Diceros bicornis minor: one gene and its partner. The protein of the gene in region 2 purifies or fractionates together with the protein of the main gene of each other region. This does not show direct contact. Links are inferred from orthologs where the notes say so. Each region holds a gene or a part of one and is shown on either strand. Other genes may lie near its edges.

Evidence for each region.
Region 1: the proteins of GSKIP (region 2) and GSK3A purify together in Homo sapiens (affinity purification with mass spectrometry; 7 studies listed by BioGRID and IntAct, with this or other methods). This does not show direct contact. The link is inferred for Diceros bicornis minor from reciprocal best matches to the Homo sapiens genes GSKIP and GSK3A.

The regions. Positions count from the first base shown.
Region 1 is NC_080773.1:17,022,040-17,029,783, forward strand, and holds the start of GSK3A (glycogen synthase kinase-3 alpha), read left to right. Parts: upstream 1-4,684; 5' UTR 4,685-4,769; coding exon 4,770-5,052; intron 5,053-6,779; coding exon 6,780-6,967; intron 6,968-7,744. UniProt on the Homo sapiens protein: Constitutively active protein kinase that acts as a negative regulator in the hormonal control of glucose homeostasis, Wnt signaling and regulation of transcription factors and microtubules, by phosphorylating and inactivating glycogen synthase (GYS1 or GYS2), CTNNB1/beta-catenin, APC and AXIN1.
Region 2 is NC_080763.1:41,849,930-41,857,360, reverse strand, and holds the start of GSKIP (GSK3B-interacting protein), read right to left. Parts: upstream 3,045-7,431; 5' UTR 2,976-3,044; intron 1-2,975. Other genes in the region: ATG2B (autophagy-related protein 2 homolog B), read left to right, coding at 3,562-3,723. UniProt on the Homo sapiens protein: A-kinase anchoring protein for GSK3B and PKA that regulates or facilitates their kinase activity towards their targets.

The sequences.
Region 1 (7,744 bases), on a different chromosome or scaffold from region 2:
TCTCTACAAGTGCCTGCTGTCCCTCTCCCGCTGCCCACCCCAGCACCAGTCCAACCCTTTCACCCCCAGCTGCTCCTAGGACTAGCCCATAGGCAGGGGGGTAGGGGGGGTGGGAAAGGGGTGCCCTGAAACCAAACTGGAAGCCCCCTCTGCCTCCCACCTGGGGCCCCTGGGGTGGGGGTCTGTTGTCAAGCCTTATTCTGTATTAGGGATGGAGGGTGGGGGGGAGGGAAGTTGGGGGCTGCTGGAGAATGTATTCAAAACAATAAAACTTTGGACCTTTGGATGCAGTGATCTGTCCTGGGTCCTGGGTGCTGGGTGCAGCTGCCACAAGGCCACAGCTTTCGCATGATTCTGAAGGACGGGCCCCAAATGGCCCCCCGTGGATCTATGGCCAGACAGCCTAACTGCCTCGGAATGAGGCAAATTCAGGCTTGGGAAATGCTCTCCCAACCTCGGGGGCACATAGCCTAGCCCCCATGGGCCTGATGAGTAAGGTCCCAGGCACACTCGTCCTCTCTGACTGCTCCCCTATTCCATGGGGATCTGCGCGTCCTTGGAAGCACTTTAGGCTCGTCACCACCACACCACTGTCCTTGCTCTTCTGATTGCCTGCAATACCTTTCCTCTCGCTCTGAGTTCCTACCCAGGACCCCAGACTCTGCTAAAGGCCTGAAACTCCTTTTGGACCACCCCTAGTAGCGTGCCACACATCATTTTTAGGGCGCTTCTGAGTTCATTTGGGACTCCTTTGGCGACAGGCCTGCACTGTCTCTTGAAATGTAGACTTTGCAAGGTCTTCCTATGGAACCATGGGAACACCCTCTGCCAGCAAGTTGGGAAGGGCCTAGCTTAATCCTGGTTGCTATTGATTGAGCTACTGTGAGCCAAGTACCTAGTACCTAGTTAGGAGCTGCAGTGCTTTATCTCCAACATCCAGCAAGGTAGGGGCAAGTGCCTCAGTGAAATGACTTGCCCAAGGCCCTAAGCCCAGCCAGGATGGGCTTAAATGAGGTCTGTCTCTGAAGCCCGTGTTCTTTCAACAACCCCTAAAAGCCGGGATGGTTGGATGTAGACCAGGGTCTCAAGATCATAGGATCTGAGTGGTGAGCTCATAAAGCTAGAAGCCCAGGTTGGAGAGTTCGAGTCAGGGATGAGAGAGTCAGAAGGAGGAATCCAGGCATGAAGTGCCCTTACAGACAGCTCAACCCTTTCAGTGCAGGTGAGGAGCCTGAGGCCCAGAGAGGGGAAGGAGTTGCCCCAAGGTCACACAGCTGCTAAGAGAGTGGGAATTGAGGGCTCAGGGCCTGTTGAACAGGCTGCACATGAAACCCCACCCTGTGCAACTCTGAGGGGAAAGAAACTGGCAACTCTTATCCACTCGATTCATCTTCACTTCATGCCAGCCCAGGGTGGGTGGTCCCAGATGATGTCTGTTGGCAGTGAAGAGAGGATCCAGGGCTGGGGTACTGGCAGGAAACCTAAGCTCCAGAGGCGGCCTGTGGGCAACTGCTCCCTCTCCTGGGTGATGTAAGGCACTCCCTGGGGTGGGGGCCACTGGGCTATTTCTGGAAGTTGGGATGAGGCATGTTTCTTGGCAACATAGATGCAGCTGAGTTGGTGGCGGTGTGATGGAGAAAGGGGGATGTCATCACTGTGGGGAGGGGGAGGACCCTGACTAGTCTCAGCCTCTGATGCCAGTGCCTTCAAAGCACCTCTAACCAGGTCTAATATGGACTCAAAAAGTGCTCAGCTCCAGAACTGCTCTCCAGGTCAGACCACAGCCCACCCAGACTTGCTGCCCCAAATTCTGGCTGAGTGGGATGTCACTGGTGCCATCTGGTCTTGAAAACACCAGCGGCTCCTCTAATCTTTAATGACGCACTTAAATCTATTCACAGTTCCTGTAAGACCACACCCTTGCTCCCTTCCACATCCTCCGGGATCTCTGAGTCCAAGTAGAAAGCCCTTCGTAGATCTCACACGACTTCACCAACTAATTCATCCCATCAGAGACCCCCTTCAAACCTATAACCCCCAGCACCCTCACACACCCCCAAACCTCCTTCCTGATGCTACTCAACCATCCCTCACCCCTTCAGGTCCCTCAGAGATCCCCTCAGTCACCAGTAGTTTCTGAGTGTCCCATAGACCTTTTAAAGACACCCTAAGTCCCCTGACTTCTCTACTGGTCCCCAGTAAGATCCCTTCACCTCTCCACGGACTCCCCTGAGCACCTTCAGATACCCATAGGCCCCTCAGAGACACTTAGAACCCACCCTAGCACTCCTCCACAAACGTTCTCAGCCCCTACAAACATCCTGGTAAGATCCCCTGAGACGGTCGCCCTCAGACTCCCACGGATCCCAATCCCTTCGCGGCGGTTGCCCACGCGTGGCCCATTGCGCATGTCCCACGGGTTCTGGCCGTTAAGTAACGGCCAGTTAAGTAACGCTGCGCTGCCTGCCCTTGTGGGCCTTCTTGGTCCGGTGTACGATTCCCCAGGCTTTGGAGCTTCTCTCAGATTTTTGCTTTTCGACTCCGAGCTGCCATCAGAGGGCAGCAGGCACCGGTTGGCTGAGAAACTACAATTCCCAGAAAGACTCGCTCCGGGCTGTGCGTGATGCAGCCACATTCATTGAGAAGGGAGCGGAAGTGTGTCCGCGCTTTGCCTTCTGGTTAATGTAGTCTGAAAAGGTTTTAGCGCTGCCTTCTGTCGCGTGTCTACGTCCGCTGGGAATTGCAGTCAGGAACAGAATGAGTGGAGACTTTCTTCAGGCTTCAGAAAGCCCAGACAGGGCGCCGCCCCAGTGGCATAGCGGTTAAGTGCGGCGGCTCCGCTTCAGCAGCCAGGCGTTCGCAGGTTCGGATCCCAGGCGGGCACACAGGAATGCTTGTCAAAACATGCTGTGGCGGCGTCCCATATAAAGTAGAGGAATATGGGCACAGATGTTAGCCCAGGGGGAATCTTTCTCAGCAAAAAGAGGAGGATTGGCATCAGATGTTAGCTCAGAGCTAATCTTCCTCACCAGAATAAACAACAAAAACAGCAGACAGTATGAACACAGGTTGAGATTAAAGTCTGGAGACTCCATTTCCCATCATTCCGCGAGGCGGGAGGGGCTGAGGGTGATTTTATTCCAGTTCCACGTACTTCCGGGACACACACACACACACACACACACACACACACACACACACACACACACACACACGAACTCTGTTTCCCAGCGTCCTTTGGGGCTACTGTCCTTCCGGATATTAATCGGTAAATGGGGCGACGTAATGCGTGCACAAAACCCGAGGCTACTCCTAGCCGCCGGCTTCCTTGTTTTGGTCCCTCCAGGATCCTGTAACTAGGAAGAGAGAGAACGCAAAAAACTGAATGGGGGTTCAAGACAAATTGTATTTTCATCTTTTTTAACGCTTGGCTCAGCCTCCTGGTACAACCCACATTGCTAGAAAAAACTAGACTGTATCCGAAGACTATAGTGTTCTGAGAAACCGCGGGAAACTGTTTCCCAAATCGTTTGCGGGGTGTTTTTCCTTTCCGATTTGGGGAAACTTGGAACTGGAAGGAGTGTTTGGACTTCATTTTCCAGCAGCCCCTGACTGATTTCGGCTCTTCCTTGGGACCTGGGGGCGGGGAAGAAGTGTTTGAAACACTCTTCAGTCTCCCCAGGGTACTGCCGTCTTTCACCTTTCGCTCACGCTCTCCCGAGGGTTCCCATTGGACTCCACTTCCCGGCAAGCCTCTGCAGTCTCGCCTCACAAAGGCTCAGGATCCGGTCTGGACTGTTCCCCAGCATGTTTCAAGCTCATGGTAGATCCCTCCCCTTCAGTCAAAGGGGAGGCTGCCTTGAACTCCATTTCCCAGAAGACAGAAGGGTTCTCCGTAGCAACGGCTCGGAAGTCGTGGTGTTGACTACATTTCCCAGCAGGGACTGCGGCCTAGCGTGCGAGGGAGGAGGAGCGCTGTACCTACTCCATTTCCTAGCCTATCTCTGGAACTGCAGTATCCCCTTGGGGGGTGGGGGGTGGGGGGTGGGGGGTGGGAGTGGGGGGGCTCAGGGATCACAGGGGACTCCATTTCCCGGCGTGCTTTGGGAGTCGCTTTACACCTGCAATGCGGTGAGGGCGTGGCGACGAATCCATTTCCCGGCTTGCCTCACAGCCCGATATCTGCGGGTCTACAGGCGCTGACTCAATTTCCCAGAGAGCACCTGGCGCCGGTCATGGCGCCGGTCAGCATACATAGCCAATAGACTAAGTAAGCGACCTGACTCCGTTTCCCGGCGTGCATCAGACCTACATAGCTCACTGATGGTGTGGCTCCGACTACGTTTCTGAGGCACACCTAAGGGCTCGTCGTTGCCGCAATGGAGTGAGTGTGCGACTCTGACTCTGCTTCCCAAAGTGCTTCGGGGTCCGCTATCGGCACAATCGGCCGACTTATTGCCCAGGACTCTATTTCCCGACGTGCAGCGCGACCCATCATCCCCGCGGTTTACTCTGAGGCCTTGGCGGACTCCATTTCCCAGCGTGCCTCGCGGCGCTCCGTGCGCGCCGAGGGCGGCGACCGCGGCGCGGAGGGCAGGCGGACTGCATCTCCCGGCGTGCCCCGCGGCGGGCGCTGGGCCGGAGCCGGAGCCCGAGCGGCGCGGCCTGGAAGAGGCCGGAGCCCGGGGGAGGCGGCGGCGGCGGCGGCAGCGGCGGCTGGGGCAGCCCGGGCAGCCCGAGCCCCGCGGCCTGGGCCTGCGCTCGGCGCCATGAGCGGCGGCGCGCCTTCGGGGGGCGGCCCTGGGGGCTCGGGCCGGGCGCGAACCAGCTCGTTCGCTGAGCCAGGCGGCGGAGGCGGCGGCGGCGGTGGCGGCCCCGGAGGCTCGGCCTCCGGCCCGGGCGGCAGCGGCGGCGGGAAGACGTCAGTCGGAGCCATGGGTGGGGGCGTGGGGGCCTCGAGCTCCGGAGGTGGCCCCAGCGGCAGCGGCGGAGGAGGCAGCGGCGGCCCCGGCGCGGGTACCAGCTTCCCGCCGCCAGGAGTGAAGCTGGGCCGTGAGTACTAGCGGCGCCCGTGAGGGGTGGAGGTTAGGGTTCCTGAAGCCCCTCAAACGTCGATTAGCTTCTTCCTTATGCCAAGATAGGAGCTCTGGGTCGCTGTGCCTCCCAAAACTGGGAGTTGAGCTCTCCGCCTCCCGGAGAAAGGGATTTGGGGGATTACCATCACTTGGAGTTTAGAATTAGAATTATTAACTCTAAAAGAAATAGGGATTACAGGTTTCTCTTCTTCCAGTACCAAGGTCTTGGGTCCTTGAGCCGTAAAAACAGGGATCTGACATTGCCATCCATTAGAGAACAGGATCAGGGGTCATCGTCGCTTGCAAATAGGGCTGAAGGATTATTGTTCCCAAAGAAAACAAGAATAAGATCACCACCACCACCACCCAAAAAGGGGGATCTGAATTTGCTTCCCTTTAGAGAAGGGGAATTTGGGGTTACTGTGTCCCCAAAGAGCAGGGCCAGGGCTTTCCAAACTTGCTACCCAGCTCGTCTTCCCTTTTAAAACACAAGCTTTAGTATCATTACCCGTCTATAATATGTACAACTGTATCCCCATTGGTGGAAATTAATGGTTGCTGCTTCTTAGAGATAAGGACAGATTGGGAGTCAGCATACCCTTCAGACCAAGTTCATAGTCATTGTTCTTCAAAAAACTATGACTTGGTGGGTCTCCTTTCACAAAAATGGAATGGGGGTTGGGGAGGGTCATAGTTCTGCATAGAATATAAATCTGAGATTATATATCTCTTTCATTGTTCTGAGGTATGGTATCATTGGCTCTGGAAAAATAGCTATGTAGGATCATCTCCCTCCAAAAGAAGGTGTCACTGGCCCCTCAAAATGGATTTGATTCATCAGTGACCCCTTTTCTTTGGGGAACCTTTCATCAGTTCGCTGAAGAAAAGGGGTCACCATCCCCTGAGAATGCCACCAAAGTTCACTGCCATTTGGAAAATGGAATGGGGAATTCTAGCTTTCCTTCAAAGGACTGAGGCTGAGTTAGCTCCCTGATAATAGAGGTCAGGTTCACCATTCTCACAGTTGGCTTGCCCATTAGGGACCACCCATATACAGGAAAAGAGGTCTGGGGCTCTGGACCACACAGATGAGGAGGTCAGGTCAGTGCCTTTTCTAACCCCAAAGTATTTGGGTAAGGGTTAACTGACCCCAAAAAGTGAGTCAGGGCACTAGCACTCATAGCAGGAGGAGTCATTGATTTCTGTCACCAAAAACCAGTGGTGAAGTTACCAGCCCCACTGGGGAAGACTTAGAGGTCACTATCCCCAGAGCTGTGAGAAACATTAGTGCTTTCCCAAAGTAGAAGTACCTCAGGGTTTCCGCTCTCAAGTGGAAGAGGTTAGGTCAGGCTTTCCCCAGTCAGGAGGGGCCAGAGGGCAGTGAGCTGAGTAGATGGATTCAACATCTGGGAGAGTCAGTATCTCCTCAAACCAAGAGGGACCAGTGGTTTACTGCTTACTAAAAGTGGAAATTAGGGGTTACCAATCCTTGAACGGCAAGAGATTTAGGTGTCAGTATTCTCCCATATGGGAGGAGGCAGGATTCCCCTGAAGGGAAGAGGGGAAAGGGCACTGGTCCTCAAAAGCAAGGAAGGGACAAAGAGGCCCCCAGTAGAGATTCCCCTTCCTCTCACAGCCCCACGATGGGGTGGTGGCCAGAGGGGAAAAGTCAATGGATTGTGTGTCCCCTTTGTTGTTCCCCAGGTGACAGCGGGAAGGTGACCACAGTGGTAGCCACTCTAGGCCAAGGCCCAGAGCGGTCCCAGGAGGTGGCTTACACAGACATCAAAGTGATTGGCAATGGCTCATTTGGGGTCGTGTACCAGGCACGGCTGGCAGAGACCAGGGAACTGGTGGCTATCAAGAAGGTTCTCCAGGACAAGAGGTTCAAGGTAGCTTGCAGGGAATGGGGACAAGGAGGTTTGACTGGGCCTGACTGGTGAGAGAGCCCCAGTGAGAGTGCTGGACTTGGGGTTCCCTGGGGGATCTGAGCATGGGCCAGAGGGGAATGGAGAAAGCAGAGAGTGAGTTGTGTGGAAGATGGGATGTGGGTTCCAGGAGAGCCCAGAGTTGACAGTGTTGGTTCTTTTGCTCTGTGTAAGTGCTTTGTAGGCAGTTCTTGTTTAATTTATGTAAAGATTCTTTGAGGGCAGGTACTGTTGTTATTTCCATTCTAAGTAAGCAGAAACTGGAAACTGAGACTCAGATAAGAGAATTGCCCGAGGTCAAGACTAGAATCTGCCCTCTAATTCCCAAGCCCTCCATCTTAACCACTAAGCTACACTTCTGCCAAGAGGAGAAAGGAAGCTGGTGGGGTTGATGAGTATGTTTGCAAGGCTGAGCTCTGCCCCAGGGACTTGGCAAGTGCAAGGTGAGCCTGTCAGCGCTCACCAAACCATGTGCCTTGGTGTGGGGCTCTGTCCCCCTCAGGAAGGGGTGCCCTGTGAGCTAGTGGAGGCCCAGGGAACTAGGAGATGGAGGAGGTGGAAGTTGAGGGATAACTGGTGTTTGAAGGACTGGCATTTTGGAGCCCAGGTTAGTCTGGATGTAGGAGAACTGAGCCTAGGCTGGGAGGGAACCAGGTCAGGGCCTGGGTCTTGGCAGTGTGTACTCTCAGGGGCAGGAGGAGCTCCAGGTGTCAGTCAGAATTTGATTTGTGTAGAGTCCCA
Region 2 (7,431 bases):
GTTACTTTTATTCGTATCATACATCATGGTCTGGAAAACTCTCTCAGCATGAACAAGAAGTGGTCAGTACGGCTTAGTATGGTGTTGGGCACACGGTAAGCTCAAGAAATATTATCTATTATTATATATTAAAAATAAAGTGTTTAAAAACATCTTTAAAGAAGAAAAGAGCTGATCCTGAAACTCAAGCAGTTTGACTAAATTCGGTGTTTTTATGTTACGTAGGGTGACTGTGCTGCTGCCTTGTGCGACCCCAAGAGCTGTGCAGTCTGGGAGCCCTAACATCATATTCCTGTTACCTCAGGTGCAAGTCTTAAAAAAAAAGTGCCAACATCATCTTATCGGCTTTGATTTCACATATAAACATGGATTTCTTTGAAGGATGGCCCATCCAGCCTCTAGTATATAGCTTCTAACCTGTCACTTCAAATCCTTTCACAAAATTCTGAAAAAGTTGACAGTTTGATTGGAAATTATCTTCACCTTCCTCACTTAATTAATGCTGTTAACATTTTGTGATAATACTTTGTCTTTGATAAAACACAAAAATAGCACTGTGATTTAGGGTGAGTTCGCACCCTATTTAAGCTAAAGATATAATCATGACAGCTCCTAAACCTTAACATATATGCTGAATTTCTTCTAGAAAGCATAAAACATATAAGACAACACACTTAACACTTTGAAGGGAGTATGTTTGTTACAAAATGTTCCAATTTTTATTTTCCTTTTCTGATATTTGAAATCTCAGGCATTCAATGGACAGCCTGAATGTAATTCTATATTCCAAGGGAAATCACTTATTTAACATATGGACTTGAAAGAAGTCAACTGTACCCATCCGCCAAAAGTCCAGTTCAAACCTCCCAAGGCCTTTTGTAATTCCCTGCCAAAAGAGATCTCACATTTTCATACCACTTTGTTTATATTCCTTTTATGGCAAGTATTATCATTATTATTCACAAACATGTCTTATCATCTTCAAAATATATCTGCCTACCAACTGCTTCTTACCATCTTCACTGCTGCTACTCTAGTCCAAGCCACTGTCATCCTTTGCCTGGATTATTGCAATATCCTTCTGTCTTCTTTCGCGTGGATTATTGCAATATCCTTCTGTCATCTTTTGCCTGGATTATGGCAATATCCTTCTAACTGATCTGCAATATCCTTCTTCTGGTCCTCCCACCCCCACACGAGTCTTATTCTCAACACAGCAGTTAGAGGTCAGATTGTCACTTGTCTCCTCGACCCCATTCACCCAGGGTAATGGCCGAAGTCCTTATAATGGTCTACAGGCCTGGCATGACTTGACAACCCCTCACCCCCTGTCTCCTCCTCTTTCCTTTACTCCCTCCTGGTGTTTCTTGAACTCACCAAGCATGCTCTTGCCATAGGGCCTTGCACTTGCTGTTCCCCCTGCCTGGAAAACAACTCTTCCAGGTACTCATGTACCTTGCTCCCCAGCTTTCTCCAAGTCTCTGCTAAAATGTCACCCTATTAAATAAGAGAGGTCTTTCCTTACCCCTCTATATAAAAGTGGCAAATCTTCCCCTCTCCATTTCCTTTATATTGCTTTATTTGTCCCTATGGCACTTACCAGCACAAGGCATATGATTTATTTGATTATTGTTTGTTTTTCCTCCCTTCAATAAAATACAAGCTCCAGGAGGGCAGGAACTTAATCTGTTCACTGCTGTATCCCCACACCTAGAACAGTCCGTGGCACATGCAGGCAATCAATAAATATTTATTGAATAAAGGAATCGACTTTTCACTCTAGAACATAAGCTCCTTGAAGGTTCTGCCTGATTCTTTACATTTTCACATCACCAGTTGTGGAGACTTTTATTTAACGGATCCTTAACAAATATTTTTGAATAAATGAAGAGCAAGGGAATTGAAGTTACCGAGAATGCTTGGGACAAGTCTACGAAGAATGAGGGGCAGCAACAATCCAAGCAACTACATACACTGGAGAGCACACTGGTTCTAAAATGAAAAAGTGGTTGTGGAAAGGGGAACCAGAGCTTTCTCTGTCGACATTTCTGCTCTGTGTTAGTAATCCTAAGGCATTCATGAAAGTTATCAACATCTAAACAAAATCTCCTTAAACAGGTCGTCTTCATTTACCATCCTAAATTAAACTATACGTTATCAGGACTCTGCTTAGGTTCGTTCCCTACTCTTATCATTTAAGCTTCATCACAATTCTCGGAGATAAGATATTAACACGCTCACACTTGGCAAAGGCTCAGAGAGGGCAGTGGCCGGTTCAAGGCGGCTCGGCTAATAAATGCCAGGGTCAGGATTCTGACCCAGGACAGAAGGCTTCCAGGCCGCTGAGCACCCGCACGCAGGCCTTTTCGGGTTGACTGAGTGAAGAGCCAGCTCCGCCCCTGCAGTTGTTGTCTCCTAAAAGGCAGAAATACGATTGCGCAGATTCCCAGAACAGCACAAACACTTCGCTCAGGTTTCTCAGGGGTCGGGAGGCTTTGGCACGGATCAGAGAAGGCAGTTCTGCCCACAAATGCCTCGAAAACTCAAGTTTCCTGGTCTTGGTGCAGCCCACCCAGGATGAAGAAAGCGCCCTCTGAACTGCAAGCCACTAGACACACAGTAACGAAACGAAGCTTTGGAGACAATACCTGAACGAGGCAGGGGACCAATAACTTGCCGACAGTGGGCACCGGTCAATACTCGGGGGGCGGGCGGGGATGCTCGAGGGCGGCTGCAGCTTCCCCGCGGCGCTCCGAGCGCCCGTTTCCGGGGTCGGGGTCTAAGGTGACCGGGACGGCCCAGGCCGGACCCGCCCCCAGACTCCTCTCGGCCGCCGCACGGGCCCCTTCCGCCGTCGCCCCTCACGGCCCGGCCGCTGCGCCGCGTCCCGCTCAGAGGGCCCCTGGCCCGCCCCCGAGCCCTCTCAGCGGCCGCCCGCCCGCAAGCCCGCGGTCACCCCCGCCCCGGCCGCTCACCTGTGCGCAACCGCTGTCTTCTTCTTCCGCCCTCCCGACGTGTCTGGAGCGGACCCGGCGCCGCGCCCTCTCCTCCGCCTTCGCCCCGCCCCCTCGGAGCCGGAACTGCTCCCCTCCGGGCCCTTCTCCCCGCCCCCCCGACCCCCAGTGTGGCGTCACTTCCGCCAGCGCGGGGTCGCGCGCCGGGAGCGTCCCCAGAGCCGGGAGCGCGCCTGGCGGATGACAACAAATTCTTTGCGCCGCGGTGGTGGAGGTGTCCCCCTCAGCCCCTGCCGCGTCTCAGCGCCCTCTCTCGCACCTTTTGCCTGTGCCCACTAGGACCCCCGCGGAAGCCCCCGGGCCTGGGGCGACGGGAAGTCCTCCGCCTTGTCCCCGCCAGGCCTAGCGCGGGCGGCGCAGGCGATGGGGTCGCCCTGAGGGACGCCTGGCGCCTTGAGGGCATGGAGGGGCCACCTCGGGCTTAGGCCCCGCCGCGGTCTGGGGACGCCGGCCGGGACCCGAGGCACCGCCGCCGCGGCCTGGAGCCGAGCCTGCGCCCCCAAGGCCAGAGCCGCAGCCCCCGCCGGCCCAGCTGCCAGCCCTCATCATGCCTTGGCCGTTTTCAGAGTCCATCAAGAAGAGGGCCTGTCGGTACCTCCTGCAGAGGTACCTGGGCCACTTCCTGCAGGAGAAGCTGAGCCTGGAGCAGCTCAGCCTGGACCTGTACCAGGGCACCGGGTCCCTCGCCCAGGTCCCCTTGGACAAATGGGTAAGAGCTGCCGGCGGCCAGCCGGGCGGGACTCGCTCCCCTCCTCGGGCGATTTGAACGAGTGTCATCTAAGACTGGTGACGTTCCCTGGGAATTGTTTGAATCCAAGTGTGGCAGGGCTCAGAGAAATGGGTTCAAGTCTTGTTAAATCTGTTTCTAGCAAGTTTGCGCCCCCAAATCACGTGCTGCGGAAACTGAACAGAGGTAGTGAAGTCTGCACTATGCGAATGGGTTGAGTCAGTGGTTTGGGGTCTGGAAGCTGGCCGGAAGGGGTCCATCGGAGGAGGTGACCAGTGCTGCCCCTCGGGGCAGGAGGGGTCGCGGGGTTCTGTGGCATACAAACCCCGTTTCATGCGATGACACTCCGGAAAGATTAAGGATGAGGAGGGCCTTTGGGGATGTCAGAATTCCCAGTTACTCCTTTATTTATTTTGGGTTGGCTACTCGAACGCCGCGGTCCCGTGACAGCGTTTGCCATCTGGAAGAAAGTTAGGTGCAGGCCTCTGCCGGTTTGCCTGCTTTTACTTGACGATAGGTTAACAAGGCCAGCCTGGGAATGGTTGTGGCCCTAGTAGTGCCGTTTAATTATGCCTGTTTGCTTCACGTGACAGATCGTAAACGCAGGTGTTGCGAAAGCACTGAAGCTGCAATTTTCAGACATTTTAAAACCTGTTATCTATTTATCCTCCAGAGCTGTGGGTTGACTCATTGTGTCTTACAGGTGCTTCATGTGTATTTCAACGCGCCGCGTACAGTTGTACCTGCATTTGTATGTTCAATGCATAGTGTTTTGCTTAAAGTATATTCAGCTCTGAGTTTGACAAGAATAGAGTGGCTTTATTTATTGCACTAGCGTTTGCTGCTTACGGTTTGAATTGGTTTGTACCTTTCTAGAATTTTGCTATCCTAAAAACATTCCTACACAGTTTACATTTAGGAAATCATAAACATAGGTGACTTTCCTATGATAGTTGTGCCAAACGAAAGGAAACCTTGTTTTCTTCCTGATTTAAGGAAGAAGCTTAAGTGTTTTTTTTCCTTTTATGTAAGAGCATTTTTAACAGAGTAGTGACTTCCTTAGCCATAGAAACCTAAAAAACTCAAATTATGGTAACACCTCATTATGACCTTTAACTTGTACCAATATGAATAAGCATATAATTTTATCAGTAAGTAGATGACTTAAACGAGAGAGGGTACACAGGATAGTGGAAAGAACCCTGGTTTGAGTAGCAGAAAGACCTAGTCCCACATCAGGCTAGCCCTGGCTGCCACAGTTAGCCAAGTGACAGTGCACATAATTCACCTGAATTCAATAAACATTAATGGAGTGTACACTCCTTGCCGGGCACGGGTGTTAGGGTACTGTATGGCTGTAATTCTTACTAGAAGATAGGGATTCTGATGGATTTTTTTTTTTAATTCAACCACCCATAAATCTATACTTTTGGTACAGTTATGAATAGGCTATCTTGAAGGAGGAATGTTGGACATTTATTAATTGTCTTTTGTGGGTTGAATGGCTTTATGCATTATTCTTTAATGACTTTTCTTTTAATGATCTATAAGGTGGGGTGTTATTTCCATTTTACAGATGGAGTTAAATAATTTGCCCCAAGTCACACAACTAGCAAGTGGTACAATGAGAATTCAAACCTATCTAATTCTTAATTCATTAATCACATGGCTTCAAGCCAAGGAAAGGGTAGTTAATGTTTATTGAGCATTTATTTATTTCAGACACTCGGCTAGGCACCTGAATTAGTGTGGTTTTGTTTAATCCTCATGGGAAATCAGAGGTGGTTTTATATATATATAAATTTTTTTTTTTTTGTGAGGAAGATCAGCCCTGAGCTAACATCCATGCTAATCCTCCTCTTTTTGCTGAGGAAGACCAGCTCTGAGCTAACATCTATTGCCAATCCTCCTCCTTTTTTCTTTTCCCCAAAACCCCAGTAGATAATTGTATGTCATAGTTGCACATCGTTCTAGTTGCTGTATGTGGGACGCGGCCTCAGCATGGCTGGGGAAGCGGTGCGTCGGTGCGCGCCCGCAATCTGAACCCGGGCCGCCAGCAGCAGAGCTAGCGCACCTAACCGCTAAGCCACGGGGCCGGCCCAGAGGTGGTGATATTTGAATTTTACAGTTTGACCTCAGGATCGTTGGCAGAATAATTTATGGCTAGATTTAATCTGAAGATTATGTTTTATTCTGCTCCTTGAAGGTGAGGGATATGCCTAACAAAAATGATAATGTCAAGTAAAGCATCCAGTATACATTTGCTGTTGCCGATTTATTGATTTATTAATTATAGTGTGCTGTGTTGATGACTAAGATAAATCTTGATGTGACACTTAGATATAAACTATTCAAAGTTTTGATTCCAAATTCAGTTACTTTTGACATTTGATTTTAATGACTGTCATGACTGAAAAAAAGATACCTCACAAAGATTCATAGATCCAAATGGAAGAATTGCATCGTTGGCAACATTACTAATGTTTCAGTTCTCAACCATCAGTTGTGCACAGGATTGTGTTGAAATTGCTGTGACGTTCCCTTCTTCCTTGATCTCAATCAGTTATTCTTGCTAATTGGAAGGTATTTGATTTTTATATATGTAAAAAATTAACTTTAAAACCTATTTTTAAAAACTCTGTTCAGAAAACTTTTAGATTCACTGGAATAATCTTTCCATGTTTTCAAATCTTTTATAATCTGTGTAGATAATGACTGAAAAAATAGTATTTTTAATAGATATATTTCAGCAACAAAATCATGTAACACTGGAAATATTTCCAAATATAATTTTTCAAAATGTTCTCCCCTTAGTACAAGTATCCTTTGAAGAGCAGTTACTTTCTCACTCATTATTTATTTTTTTTTAAACTTTTTTTCTTTGGTGAGGAAGATTGGCCCTGAGCTAACATCCGTTGCCAATCTTCCTCTTTTTGCTTGAGGAAGGTGGTCCCTGAGCTAACATCTGTGCCAGTCTTCCTCTACTTTGTATGTGGAACACTGCCACAGCATGGCTTGATGAGCAGTGCGTAGGTCCACACCCGGAATCTGGGCTCCCAAACCCCAGGCTCCCTGAAGTGGAGCCTGAGAACTTAACCATTGCACCATCGGGCTGGCCCCTCTCACTCGTTATTGAAGTGATATCTTTACTTTGACAAGATAAAGTGTGTTTTGTTTTTTGGAATGTACCTGCTAGGTAGCATATACTACTGGTAGCCATCTGTCATCACATAAATGGTTAGCATATCTAGAACTCTTCTCTTTGTGTAGAAGAAAATTGCTTATCATCTTTAAATTTAACTCGTAAACATTAGGCCGTTGAAAACCCAGGAAATCAGAAAGTTATTGTCACTTCCTGTCTCTTTACAAAGATTCTACTGTTCAAAGGTCTGCTTTTATTATGTAGAATATAGTATGCTCAAGTAAGTTGCAGTGTGCTGAAGGGGAGCATCCAGCTGAGGGCACCAGCCTTCACTCTTCCCCATGGTGGAACTGCTAGTCTGATGTATGGCTGGAGTGAGGGTGCCAATGCCTATTTGTATGTTGAATATTAGTAAAACTTTTAAATCTAAAAATGTGAAAAATTTAATATAGAATGTCTAATTTTCTTCTCACATCCCTGTACATAGATCATCTGTTTTTCTTTCTGGAATATATATACCCCCCTTTGGAGATCACTACTTTAAAAGG